Drosophila melanogaster: one gene and its partner. The protein of the gene in region 2 interacts with the protein of the main gene of each other region in a pairwise test. Each region holds a gene or a part of one and is shown on either strand. Other genes may lie near its edges.

Region 1 (7,891 bases), on a different chromosome or scaffold from region 2:
GGTATACATGCGAAAGTCCCCGTCACGTCGGCACATCAGATGACAGTGGTGGGACCTCCGCATTCAGCAGCTATTCACAATATTAGTTTACTGCTATTGTGGAGCAAAGTCGCAAATATTTCCGTAGCCAAAGTCACGTTCGCCCACCTGATAACTTCCAGTCACTGGGTTGCATTATCAGGTTGGGAATCTGCTGCTCGGTAATGGGAATCTCAGCAACAACAATAACTAATTTGTTGACTTTCGACACTCGAGAGAATTCTCGATTTTGTGACGTGAACTATTCATTAATCTCCTTCATGAAGAAAATAGATTGGACAGTTTTGTTTTCATATTTTTGACCAAACATTATCTGATCTTAATCAAATGTTGAATTTTACTAGTACACAATATGACGCATCTAGAACCAAAAAATCGTATTTTCCCCTGACTCATTGTTTTCATCTTTTGTAGCCTTCCGCTTCTTGAGAATCTAGAATCTTCATGTTAAGCTCATAGTCTGGTTGACTAATTACACATTTATAAATATTTACAATCTTGTGTCAATAAATAAAAACAGCGTTTTTTACCCCAGAGCCCTAAAGAAACAAATTCGAATTATTCTTGGTGAGATCAAATTTCAATGTATTATGTTCTTTTTTGCAATTTTCACTTACAAGATTTTAAGAGTACACAAAGCGTAATACAGAAGTATTAAATAATAAATAACAATTTGCATTCGTTGCATTTTTTAACATGGAAACTAATGTGTTTTAAAGCCCAAAAGCAAATCAGGGCGACTGTCCTTTGATAAGATCAACAGTTTGCAAAAAAATTAAAATGTTAAATGTATTGTACATAGGTAGGTTTTAGGAAGAATCGGTTGCAGAGAGGAGGCTGCGGAGCGGCGTGATTCTTGAACGAATCGAATCGGGGCTGCAGCGCGATTGGAAGGCAGTGAGTTCTTGTGTGTCTAAGCTTTAAGTCTTTGTTGGCAGTACCACCTGCAGGAAGACGACGTGGAACGCAGTCGGAGTCGGCGCGACCCGGAAGGCCAGGATGTCCACAGTGTCATATCATCCGATATGCCCAGTCCCGGCGGCTAATCAGTCGGCATTCAGCCGGATGCAGCCAACGCGCCAGCGTGTCCCAGAATGCAACCCGTGGGTGACTCCACGAGCTCCAATCAGCCCATGTCCACATCCGTATCGGGTTCGGGTTCCGTGGACAGCCCATTGGCATTCTGAGCCATTTGGAGCGTGGAGCGCGTGTAGTCCAATGGCTCCACGCCAATGTCCTCGTACTCGTGCTTGTCACCCAAGGGACAGAGTCCTTCCTCGTCATCATCCATCGCATCGGCGGCAGTGCCTTCGTCCTCCTCCGCATCGCTCCAGTCCTCGGCCACCTCCACGTCGACTGGCAGGTACATGTGGAAGGGGCGCTGCTCTCGCAGCCACGGGGTAAGGAAGATGTGGCTGGCGGTCATTCGTTCCGTGTAATCCTTCCGCAGCAGCGAAAGCAACAGCCATCGCACCGACTTAGACAGCGTCAGGGGTATCTGGACATTCCCGTGGCGTATGACGGTGATGAGGTTGCAGTTGGCCTTCTCGTAGAACGGGTACTGACCCACCAACATGGTGTACAGGATCACGCCCAGCGACCACATGTCCGCCGGTTTGCCCTTGTACGTTTGCTGGGGGCACAGCAGTTCTGGAGCGGTGTACAGTGGGCAACCGATCTTGTCGCTCAGAGTATCGTCCTCGCCGTCGAGGATCATTGAGCCTTCCAGTGATTCATACTGCAGTTTCGTTCTGTAATTAGCAAATGACAAAATCGAATAAATAATCCGCCAAAATAGGGTACAAAATATATGTTTATGCTTCTTAGAAATAAAACTAACAGTCTTTTTTTTACCCGTTTCTATTAATATGTTGAGAACTATTGTTGCCAAAGAAGAGTAGATATGACTGCAACTTGAGTTGGCACTGCCACTATTCTGATCGCAACTGTACCCGTTCATCAGACCCATCGTCGAGCTCTACATCATGTGCAATCCCTGGGACTTGCATAACCCCCGATTTTGTGGGGCCATTAGCTAGCGCAATATCGAAGAGACTTGAATCGATCGGCCACGGAGCTTCAGTTTCAGTTGTAGTTGTCTTTGGCGTTGGCGTATTGACAAGTCAAAAGGCAAATTGGCCGAGAGAGCACATTGTGAGCTGAGCTGAGTTGACTTGGATTGGTGACGAAAGCGCAGCTTGCGACCCCCGACACCCATGAGCGAGTGCCGCCGCCGCCGCCGCCTCCGCCCCTGCACTCCACTCCACTCCCCCTCCATTGGGCCACTCCACTCCATTGACATTGGCCCACATTCGAATGCAAAAAGCAAAAAAGTAACGAAAACGCCAGCGAGCACAGCGCATAGATCCAAAGAGAGTCCGCTGTGTGAGCTGCGTGAGTAGTAAGGTGAGGTGGAGTGACGTATCGCAACTTGTTGCTGCAACGGCGCTTCTGCTGGGACCCGAGCACCACTACCAACATTGGGTATTCCGCCGATAGCGAACGGAGCGATATACAAACACACGGTCGCCGCGGTCTGGTATCCAAACATCCAAAGAGCCAAACACAAAGCAGGCCAAAAAAACCTCGAGCTGACCCTGAACAAAAACAAGCTTTGAAAACGCGCCTCTCCTCGGCACAAATCACAGTGTACACTGAAAGAAACAAATTACCTTCAACTTGATAGCAACAGGTGGGCAATCAATAAGAGGGAAAAGAGATAGCGCATTTAAATAATATATTCAAAGAACACGGTTCTTAATTAAGAGCATGTTTCTATACATTTGTTTTCGGGTTTCATTTGATTTTTGTGTCCTCTATCGTCTAGTTACCCCATTCGATACAGAAACATTATAAACTTATATTTAAGATCAAGGCAAGCATATATAATTATACTTTTAAGATCAAGGTTTTATGTGAACCAATATTTATATTTTTGAGTGCACGGAAGGCAGGTGGAGATGTGATGAGGAGAATAGTTACAGCTGCTGACCTCGATGCGCGACATAACCGAGCTTTGAAGAGCGTCTTGTGGATCTCTTCTTTCCCTCTCTCTCTCTCTCTCGCTCTATACGTTTGGCACACATTAACCCGCGACAGAGGTTAAAATAAAATCGGAATCGAAACGAAATACGGAAAACCGGCGCCGCATAAATGCTCAAACACCTTGGAAGTATTTACGTACGGCAAAAGAGTAGACAAAATAAAAGTATGAACCAGAGATTTTTACATGCATAAGCATACGCATTTGTATATGGGAGGCACTGGCATATATGCATGTACATAAATGCGTTCAAATACAGAAGATCAGAGTCAGGGACATTCACCGCACTGTGACCTTAAAAATTCGGCTCGTTATTTGGTTGTGCGTGTGTGTGGCCGCCCCGTTGGACATATGTAGATATGGATATGGCCACGCCCATAGCCCATATAGTATGTATGTACACCCAGCGAGCACTTATCTATATAGCGATGTATTATTCGAATGGAAATGGGAATGGAAGTGAGCGCCAGTAATCGCAGCGCATTTGAGTCGTATTGAACACTTGTTGTTTATTTCTCGCCAAGGTGAGAGAAGTATAGTATAGATAGAGATCTATGGGTTGGTTTCTTCCTTCCGCCGTTTTGCACTTGGCACAGAACGACGAAATGACGAAAAAATCAGCAGATATTGCGCTAATTGCAGAGTCATACGAAATCGACCAAATGTTCAAGTCGTTCCATGCTGATGTCAGTACAATTTCGAAGATAATAAGAACGGGAGACAGCGCGTTTTCGATACAGTTGTGTTAATTAACATATGCGAAAATACATTTTCGATGAAGGTGGGGTCAATATTTCATCATCCACTGTAAACTCACACACGGGAAATCGACAAATCAAGCGAACGCCGAGTACGTGGCCCACAGATCCCCACCCCAAAACCATATTGCAAATGCTATGTTGAACAATTCTTGAAATGTGGCAATTTCTAGCTTCCGAAATGTGTAATGAAAAAACGAGTGAGCCAACATTTTGGCCATCAGTGTGGCACATTGGGCCCTTGTGTACGAGTATGTACACAGAGATACAGTCGGGGTCTGCAAAATAAGGCATATGCTTGCTCACTGAATGGCAATTCAATGATATTACATAAATAATAATTCTTTAGCTACAAAGCTAATACACCATGTTAATTAATAGTTTAATAATAGGTGTATTTCAAAAACTTATCTTTGAAATTATTTAACATTTTTGATCTTATTCCCATTCATTTTTGCAATGCTTCGCATAGTAGGAATATATTTTTACTTATAAAATTAGTTTGAAACTACCATTATACCCTGTGCTGTACATACGTACGCCTTGCGTTCATTCGGTTTGTCAGTATAATTGTTGTTGTTGGCCTATTGGTGATTCGATTGCAACACTTGTTAAATGTTCAATGTTACCCACAACGACGGCGCCAGCAACAAAAACAAAAGCAACAACAGCAGCAGCAGCAGCAACTACAACAACATGGGCCAATAACAAGAGCAACAATTGTGGCACCACCAACACACGACCACAAACAAGATCTCTCGCTCATAACGAGTTTCCATCGAATTGCAAAATAAACCGACTAGCCAGCCATATGCAATTGAGTTGGTATAAGTCAGGCATATGTGGCGTATATTGGTGTATATGGGTTTTTCGAAGGTGTCACCTGGACACGCAACTCACCTGGCCTCGTCGATGAAGTAGAACCGCTTGAGCTTGAGGTCCCTGAGGATAATCCCGTTGCGGTGGCACACCTGAACAGTCTGACAGATCTGGTGGAATATGGCCCTCGCCTCCGTCTCGCACAGTCGCTTCGCGTGGCGGATGTAGGTGTGCAGGTTCTCGTACACCCCGGTCACCCCACCCGTGGAGTCCCTCTCCTGGGGCACGGGCGCAATGAGGATGTAGGTGCGATCCTTGGTAAGCGGTATGATATCGTGCACGGGTCGGATCAGTGGATGGCCATAGATGGTGCTCCGGCGTAGCTCCTCGTCGTGCTGCTGCAGCTGAAAGTAGGCTCGTTGCACCTTATGCAACGGTTCGTTTACAATACGGCAGAGGAACTGCTCCCCGGTGAAGATGTCCACGCAGCGCAGATTGGAGGCGGTTAGATCGACCAAGTGGCGATACGAGGCGGGAGTCTTGGCAGCCACGGCGGCCGATATGTGACTAGGCTGTGCGCTGATCAGATAACGCTGTTGGATGAGCTTGACGGGCTGCTGGTCTGTGGGTTCCGCTGCGATGCCCAGGGCCAGAAGGTCACAGGCTCCGCCGGGCGTCATTAGCTTCTCCCTGATGGTCTGCAGCATCTTGGCATTGGGGAACTCCTTTTTGGGCGTAAATAATCCCAGTACGGTGTCCTCCTGGCTGCTACTCATGCCGCTGCTGCTGGATGATGAGGATGAGGAGGTGGCGGCTGCGACTCCTGGCGAGACTGGTGACGAATAGTTGACTATTTTGCTTGTGGACGCTGACGAAGCCGTTCTGCTGTTTTGACCGCTACTGTTATCCATGCTTGCTTGTGTTTACCACTTCACTTAACTTTATCACAGTTCTTGCTCTCGCTACGTTTTCTTCGTCTTATTCTCTGCTAATGCTTCTTCTTACTAATTTTGTTACTCCGCTTTAGCCTGGCTGTACTTGGCTGTTAATTGTTTTGACATTTAGCGACGCGCCGTTTAGTCTCCGATTAAATTCGATTTAAACTCTCGTTTAAACTCAGGGCTACTACTACTTCGGTAGTTTGGCCATTTGCAATGCGGGTACTGACGAAATGCGGCGATTTTAAAACAAATCGGACGCTGCTCACTGAACTCGCGAAACGAAACGAACGCGACCGTCTTCTCCGCAGTTTGAATTTCAAATGTGACCATCCACGCGGTCGGAAGAAGCACGAAGCGAAGAGAACGGCGAAATACAACGGCTCTCTTTCGCACCCTCTTGCTCGCTCTCACTGCACCGATCCTTCTCTGCCTCGCTCACACCCGTTGCAGGAATTTAGCTCAATGCGGTCGGAATGGAAAGAGAAGTGGGAGACCAGAGAGCGTCGTTATTTTTTGAAATCCAAATGGTTGGGAGAGAGAGAAAGAACAAGAGCATCGTTATTTTTGAAAAAATTGCGCTGAACGCTGAAATTCCGATTCCAACTGAATTCGAAATACGTAGCTGTATGAACACTATACCCACAGCAACCCTTAAACTTTTCTTCTACGATTTTACGTAGTAATCTGCGCACCAATAAATCGTGGCGATAAGTTAATTAGAGGGGGTTAGTAAACTGATAAAATCCACAGTTTTAAGATCAAATTAATGAAAGTACAGTCAGCTTGAACTTCGATTTTGTTTTATTGAGTACGGGTACGGATATCGAAGGCAGAAACACCCGTATAACCATCTCTATAACTCGAAAATATCTTTTGTGGTTTCTTGGCTTGGATACTTAAGGTTTTCTCCTGCTCTGATAAGGTAATATTTTACAAGTTTGGTTGAAATTATTTGTTTTCCCATAGTTACGAAATTTTTAAACCAAATTCAATGATGATGTGCAGTTTTTGAGTAGTTGCTTTGCAAACTACTATTATTATAAAAAAACATAAAACATAAAACATTTTAATATCCTAATATACATACAAATTTAAAATTAAGAAATTTGTCTTCTTAATACTCCAGATTAAGATCTCTTATATCCCTAAGTATATGACCACAGATGGACATTTCAGATGTACAAACATAGTTCTAGTAAATCCTAGAATTTAAATAAATGCTCCCAAACTCGAATCTTCAAATAACGCTTCAATCTCTTGGATCCAAATCGATCATTGAATTTTTTCCTGTGCGAGATCATTACTCATTTGTGTGTGTGTATGTGGATTTACCTTGCTGTTTACCTCGCGGTGCAGACGATTTCATGATTTTTGCAGCTGTCCGAAACGAGGATCACTGGGCTACGCAGGAATTACGACAGCAACAGAAGGCAGTTATCCGAGATCCTCAAGGAGCAGGTAAGAACCACCGAGCGGCATTATGTCGCAGGTAGATTCCTACATACATATGTCAGCTGCACTATTCCACCCCTAAGCACTATATGGCAGATATAGTGCATCGGTGCAGGGCTGTACATGCGATGCAGTTGCAGTTGCAGCTGGCGCAAGGTGATTTCCCACTAAAGACATCCGTCTGAGGATACACAGGAGCACATTCGCGGTCACAATAATAGGAACTATCGCAATCGAATCTTTAGTAATTGGAAATGAGGGTCTTTAAATATAATTTTTAAGACCGAATTGTTGGACTAAAAGACCTGAAAAATGTATTTTTAAAATCGTTGATAGAATTGGTACAATTGTAGGTTAGATATAACTCATTTAGTTTTGAATTTTTTCATTCTGGGATACTGGGATTTTGAATACTAATATTTTCACCGCAACTGTTTATGCAGGCTTGTATTTCGTCCATTGGTTTTCACCGATCTCTTCGATTGAATTCTTCATATTGTAACGCTCTTTTTGAAACGCAACGTCCGTCTTTGCTTCTTCTTCCCACGAAGTAGCCGATAAATACGAATGCGAAAATCGCGAACAGAACAAATAACACCAACAAACCTCTCTTTTCGCCCGTCCCTTTTCCAAAGTCTTGCATCTGTTTCTCGAAAGGAAGATTGAAACGAGAATTATACTGGTACCGTGACACCAATGCAACCGAAAAGGGGGGAAATTATAGGGGTGGCGACATCAAATTGAATTTGAAAAATATTTTATTTGCATACGACATACTTATTTGCAAGCAATTAATGTTTCACTCTGGTCACTGCACTCACTTATACGATTAAATAGGC
Region 2 (5,300 bases):
GGCATGCGTTTTTTGGCTCTCTGGCTCCGTGGCTCTGTGGCTTTTGTTTGGGCTTTCTCTGGCGCGTTAATTTGTCGGTTTCTCGAGTTGCATTAATTCTTTTTCGCTTTGTCGTTTATAAATTTGCTTTTCGTTTCGGGTTTGTCTTACTGTCAAATTGTGTCAACACGGCCGCCTTGCGATTGTCTGGGGTCCTCCACTTCGCCCTCCTTCCTCCCTGCAATTGGCCCAGTGTCGCGCCTGGCAGCCCGAAATGCATTGCCTTGTCGTATTTGTCCCATCGGAAGACAGCGAAGACAGCGAAGACAGAAGACGGCGGACAGAAGAAAGACCCTGCCCTCCCAATGCGGTGGTGGTGCGTCTCTTTCTGGTCTTCGCCCAGCGTATCGTTTTGTCGCCCAAGTATGGCCGACATTTAATTAGACACTTTTTGGCAGGGCTTTTGCATCAAATTGTGGCTAGGGCTAATTGCAGATTGGTAGTTGAACTGTGGAAATTAAGAAGTTATCTGAAATTCATTTGGGTTTTAGTCAAAACGCACGACAAGCCGATTCTTTGTATAAGGTAAATTTTATTTAATTTGTTTAGATTTGCTTTACAGTTTTCTTTGTTTGTGTATATTTAATTTACGAATATATAAATTAAAATGAGAACATTGCGTTTGCCTTACAATTAATAGCATTCATATCTTCTACGCTCTCGGAAGCGAACCCGTGGAATTCGCTACAAGTTGGTTGATTTCGGGAGGCTTTCCTCTGGGGATTGTGCAGGTAAAGCGATGCTTGATTCTCCGACTTACGAACTAGAGATTTGCTAATGTTGTGTGTCAAGCAGGGCTGGGCGTGGGAGTGGGCGTGGCATCAAGCATAGAGCGAAGCCGCACACCGTCGAGAACTGTACACATTTGAATTAGATGTATAAATAGTTAATAGGTTTTGAAGTTTGTATTTTCGTTCTTCGTTCCTGCGTGTTATTCTTTTTTACATTAATATTTTTAACATTTTTCTTTGGCTTAACTTTATGATAGATATAATGTATAAGATTATGTATAAAAACGTGCGAAATATATATGTTACAGTCGTTAAGAATTAGAATTAAGTACAAAAATATGCTTTACAGTGATAACAAGAAATGGGGACAGAGTAAATGTACAAGGAATGCCACAGCGATCGGCAGAAGAGTTTGGTCTCCAAGCGATGCAGCGGCCCACCAACTTGGCGCGACCGCTCCATCGTCTACGGCCAGAGAGGACAATGAGGAGCAGGAGGAGAATGAACCTTACGAGCTACCCACACAGCATTTGTATCTTTGATTTAGCAGAGTCTCGCTCACACGCACACACTTACGGCTGGAGCACTCACACACTCATACACACACACACACGAGCACTCAAGCATTCAAGCACTCACGCACACACAGAACTCGCAGGACACTGGCTTTAGCTGGCAGCGGCTACAGCGAGTGTTCGTTGGTGTTGAGGAAGCTGCGGCAGACGCGGCTCACTTCGGGATTGGCGTGGTTCATTAGCTGCATGTAGATCTGCTTGTGTAGCTGCAGCTCGTTGGTCATCTCACCAAGCTGCCGAATGAGGGCGTCCTTCTCCTTGAGCAGGCTCTTCACGCGCTCCTCCACCTCGCGGGAGCGCACCTTAGCCTTCTCCCGGCTCTTGCGCACCGCTATGTTGTTCCGCTCCCGCCGCCTGCGGTACTCATCCGTGCCCTTGTCCACATGCTTGTTGCTGTGCTTGCGGTGCTGCTGCTGTTGCTGGTGCTGCTGATGCTGCTGCTGCGCGTGCAGCTTGCTGTGCTGCTTGAGCAGATTGTGTGCTCCTGCTGCGGCCGCCAGGTGGGGCAGGTTGTGGTGCGCCAGGACGTTGGCCGTCGTCAGGTTGGTGAACTGGCTGCCGTTGCTGCTGCCCGTGCTGCCGTTGCTCCCGTTGCTGCTGGGCGTGGTGTTGCCTCCGTTGAGTGGGTTTCCGCCCCCGGTCAAGCCATTCGCCCCCGATCCGTAGCCGTTGTACAGGCCTGCTCCATTGCCCATGAAGGCGGCCTGCTGGCTAGCCGCCTCCTGCAGGTGCCGCCTGTACTCGGGGTCGATGGGCTCCTCCTTGATCGTGCTGGAGTCGGAGCCCACGGAGCTGTTCTCGTCGCTGGAATTGTTGTAGGTGGCGTGCACGGGCTGCGGCATGTAGGCCAGGGCGCCTCCTGCTCCGCCACCGCCTCCCCTGCCCCCGTAGCCGTGCTGGTTCCGCAGGGTCTGCTGCTGCAGGACCTTCGCCGCCGCCGAGACCATTCCGCTCGGCGGCAGGGTGGCCGAGAGTCCGCCCGGACTGGTCACCATGTCGCTGAAGATGCCCAGCGTTTCCGTGTCCCTGAACTGGTCGTCTATCAGGTGCTGCAGGTCGAGCGTGATCTCCTGGGTGGTCAGCTCGTCCAGGTCCGTCTGAGTGGAGTACTGCTGCAGCATCTGCTTCTGCAGCAGGTTGTTGTTGCTGCCCAATGCGGCGACCTGTTGCATCTGGTGCATGGCGTGCTGCTTGACCAGGAGTGCCGCGTCCTGCGACGTGTTGTTGTTCGCATCGGTAGTCTGCTGCTGGGGTTGCTGCTGCTGCTGTTGTTGCTGCTGCTGTTGCTGCTGCTGTTGCTGCTGCTGTTGTTGCTGCTGCTGCTGCGCCGTGGACATGGCCGTCAGTGTGATCTGGCCAATGGTGGCCTGCTGCAGGGGAGGCTCCTTCTTGAGGTCCAGCTGGGCCAATGTCTGAACGGCATCGGCGTACATCTGCGGCGACTCCATGTTCAGCATTTTCAGTTGCGCGAAGGAGGGTAGAATCTTGATTCCTTGTAGAGCGTTAATTTTGGCTGTTTTTAGAGTTCAGATTTGGGAATAAACTTTTGCTCGTTTGGCGCCTAAAGCATTGCACTGAGGTAAGAAGTGGGTCTTTGGAAATGTTCGACTCGGATAGCTCGCTATTCCGTATGCTTCATCTTAGGCTGCCTGGGTGGTCACTGCAGCCGAGCATCGTACTATTGCTTATTATGTTTCCGATTCTTAGCGCAAAATGTTTTATTCAGTTTGTTTACTTTGTTAACTCGACACTGCACTTCTCCGGCCGCACGCGTTCGAACGACTGAAGTGCCGCGGCAGTGATGCAACAGATTTTATACGAGACGGCCTGACGACTGCCGTTGGCTAGTACTCTCGTACTCGTACACGTACGTGTGCTGGTGTTAGAAACGCTCCTGAAGAACCGTTAGCTGAGCGAGCTTTTCTTCGATTTGGATTTTCTTGGCCAGCGGAGAGCGCGCGTCCGTCGCCGACGAGTGGTAAATTGTAACTGTGACAAAACGCGAACGCGAACGCGGCAAAGTGAAAAAGTCTTTGGCGCAGCGACGCAGCCGAAGAAAAAGAAAATGAGCGGCCAGCGCATGTAACACACACACACACACACATTCACTCGTACCGCTCCACACCGAAGCCCCAAGCGTTGCCGTCGCCGTCGCCGTTACAGCAAAGCAAAGGCGGCAGCAGCACAGCACAGCACGAGCAGAGCAAAAGCAAAGCAAGAGCAGGCAAAGCACAAGTAAGCCAGGCAAAGGCAAAGGCAACTACCTGTGGATGAGAGCGAGAGCCGCGATCAGGTAAAAAAGCAAGAGTTTTCCCAATCACTTTTACTCTCGTCGCAAGGCAATTCACTGGGCCATTCTTGTGGTTGCTGTGCGGGCCAAAAGCACGAATGCAAGCAAAGTGCATTTGGTACGAAGCTGGGAGATACTTCTTCAGTTTCCGGAACTTAATATCATATTTGATAGGATAATTACATTTTTTATATAGAATTTATTACATTTATACATGTTCCACATAAGTTAGTTTAGATATTAGTTTAGATATTAATTGTTTAATTAAGACCCCATCCTAGAATCCAGTATTAGTTATGCGCTGATGCAGTGAATTTCATGATAAAACTCAATGCAACGCACGATCGCGTGACGTCACACAAAAGGGAGCCCCAAGGCACCCACACAAGCTCAAGCGAGCACAGACACCAGCAGCGCGCGACGTCGGCAGCGCAGCCAGCGCTCATTATTCCTTGGCTCTCGCTTTCGTTTTCATTTTCATTTTCGGTTCCGTCGCTTTTGCTTTTTTTGGGAGAAGAGCCGCACAGCCGCAGCGAGAAGCAACAACACCACGCCCGCACACACCGGCACTCCGCTGCGTAACCCCCGACCCCCATTTTGGGGCCTTGCCCACTCCGATTTGTGTTTGGGCTTCGACTCGCTTTGCGCCTTAGAAATACAGAAAAGCAAAAAAAAACACAGAAGTGCAGTTACTTGGTGGATCGGGGGATTGGGGGCTTGGGGATTGGGGCCTGTTTTTGGCGCGCATGCGTGACTGCGCAGTGGAAGCGCAACGCATCGCGGAGCTTTCACGTAATAGGCAGCGACGTCTTATTAAAATTAAGACTGTGTTATGAAATTCATAAAAATTAGCACGGCTCGTAGTTTTGTTTATTTAAATGCAGCGATTTGTGAAGTCGCCTTCTCCACTTTTCCCCCATTGGCGCTCTTCTGCTTGGTGCTCACTCCGCTAACTCTGCTCACTCTGCTGACTCTCCTGAGTTTTCGAGTCTGCAATTTGGGTCAAGTTGTCGTTTACTTTCCGAAGGTGCGTCCCCTGCTTTCGGCCCCGCCTCTCGCCCCCGTCTTCTGCCTTCGTGTATGTACCTTTTGTTTACCCGGACTTTATTAATCATACGCCCCGTGCGCCGTTGCACGATAAGAGGGTATTCCGCTGTCGATGACAGGACAGCCACTTTTCTTCGCTTATCAGTCAAGCTATTGCAGCGAATCGGAAATATCGCCGATATCGATGACTGCATCGAGATTGTGCAAAAGTGCTTCCTTGTGCGTCCACAAAGATATTCTTCTGGTCGGGTGTATTTCAAAACGCATTCAACGCACCCTTATTGTTCTTGGGGGATTGCATTGTGCGGTCTGGTTACCCAAGAACTGATTCCATATCGATCGATGGGAAAGGTGATGAAATCTGCAATTTAAATGAGGCAAGATCGATCCATGTGCACCTTATCTTATCAGATTGTTTATGGAGAAACTACTGGTTAAATGGGATTAAAGCAAAGCAAAGTCATTTATTTATTTGCTTATCCTCCTGCTAACTGGAATCGTCCAAGGCTTACCTAAAGTTACCTATTTATAAAAACTTGAAAGCATAAATTTTTTAAAATAAATTTAAAAAAAAAACACTTCAAATTAGCAAGTAGGTGGACTGGCTATAAATACCAG

Evidence for each region.
Region 1: the proteins of slbo (region 2) and trbl interact in a two-hybrid assay, tested with the Drosophila melanogaster proteins (2 studies listed by BioGRID).

What each region holds. Positions count from the first base shown.
Region 1 is NT_037436.4:20,395,686-20,403,576, forward strand, and holds trbl (tribbles), read right to left. Parts: upstream 5,925-7,891; 5' UTR 5,571-5,924; coding exon 4,741-5,570; intron 1,791-4,740; coding exon 1,166-1,790; 3' UTR 603-1,165; downstream 1-602. UniProt on the Drosophila melanogaster protein: Adapter protein that negatively regulates different signaling pathways to coordinate cell differentiation, proliferation, migration and growth.
Region 2 is NT_033778.4:24,330,969-24,336,268, forward strand, and holds slbo (slow border cells), read right to left. Parts: upstream 3,340-5,300; 5' UTR 2,803-3,339; coding exon 1,453-2,802; 3' UTR 554-1,452; downstream 1-553. UniProt on the Drosophila melanogaster protein: Required for the expression of gene products mediating border cell migration. Among the DNA sequences that this protein binds with high affinity is a conserved site within the promoter of its gene.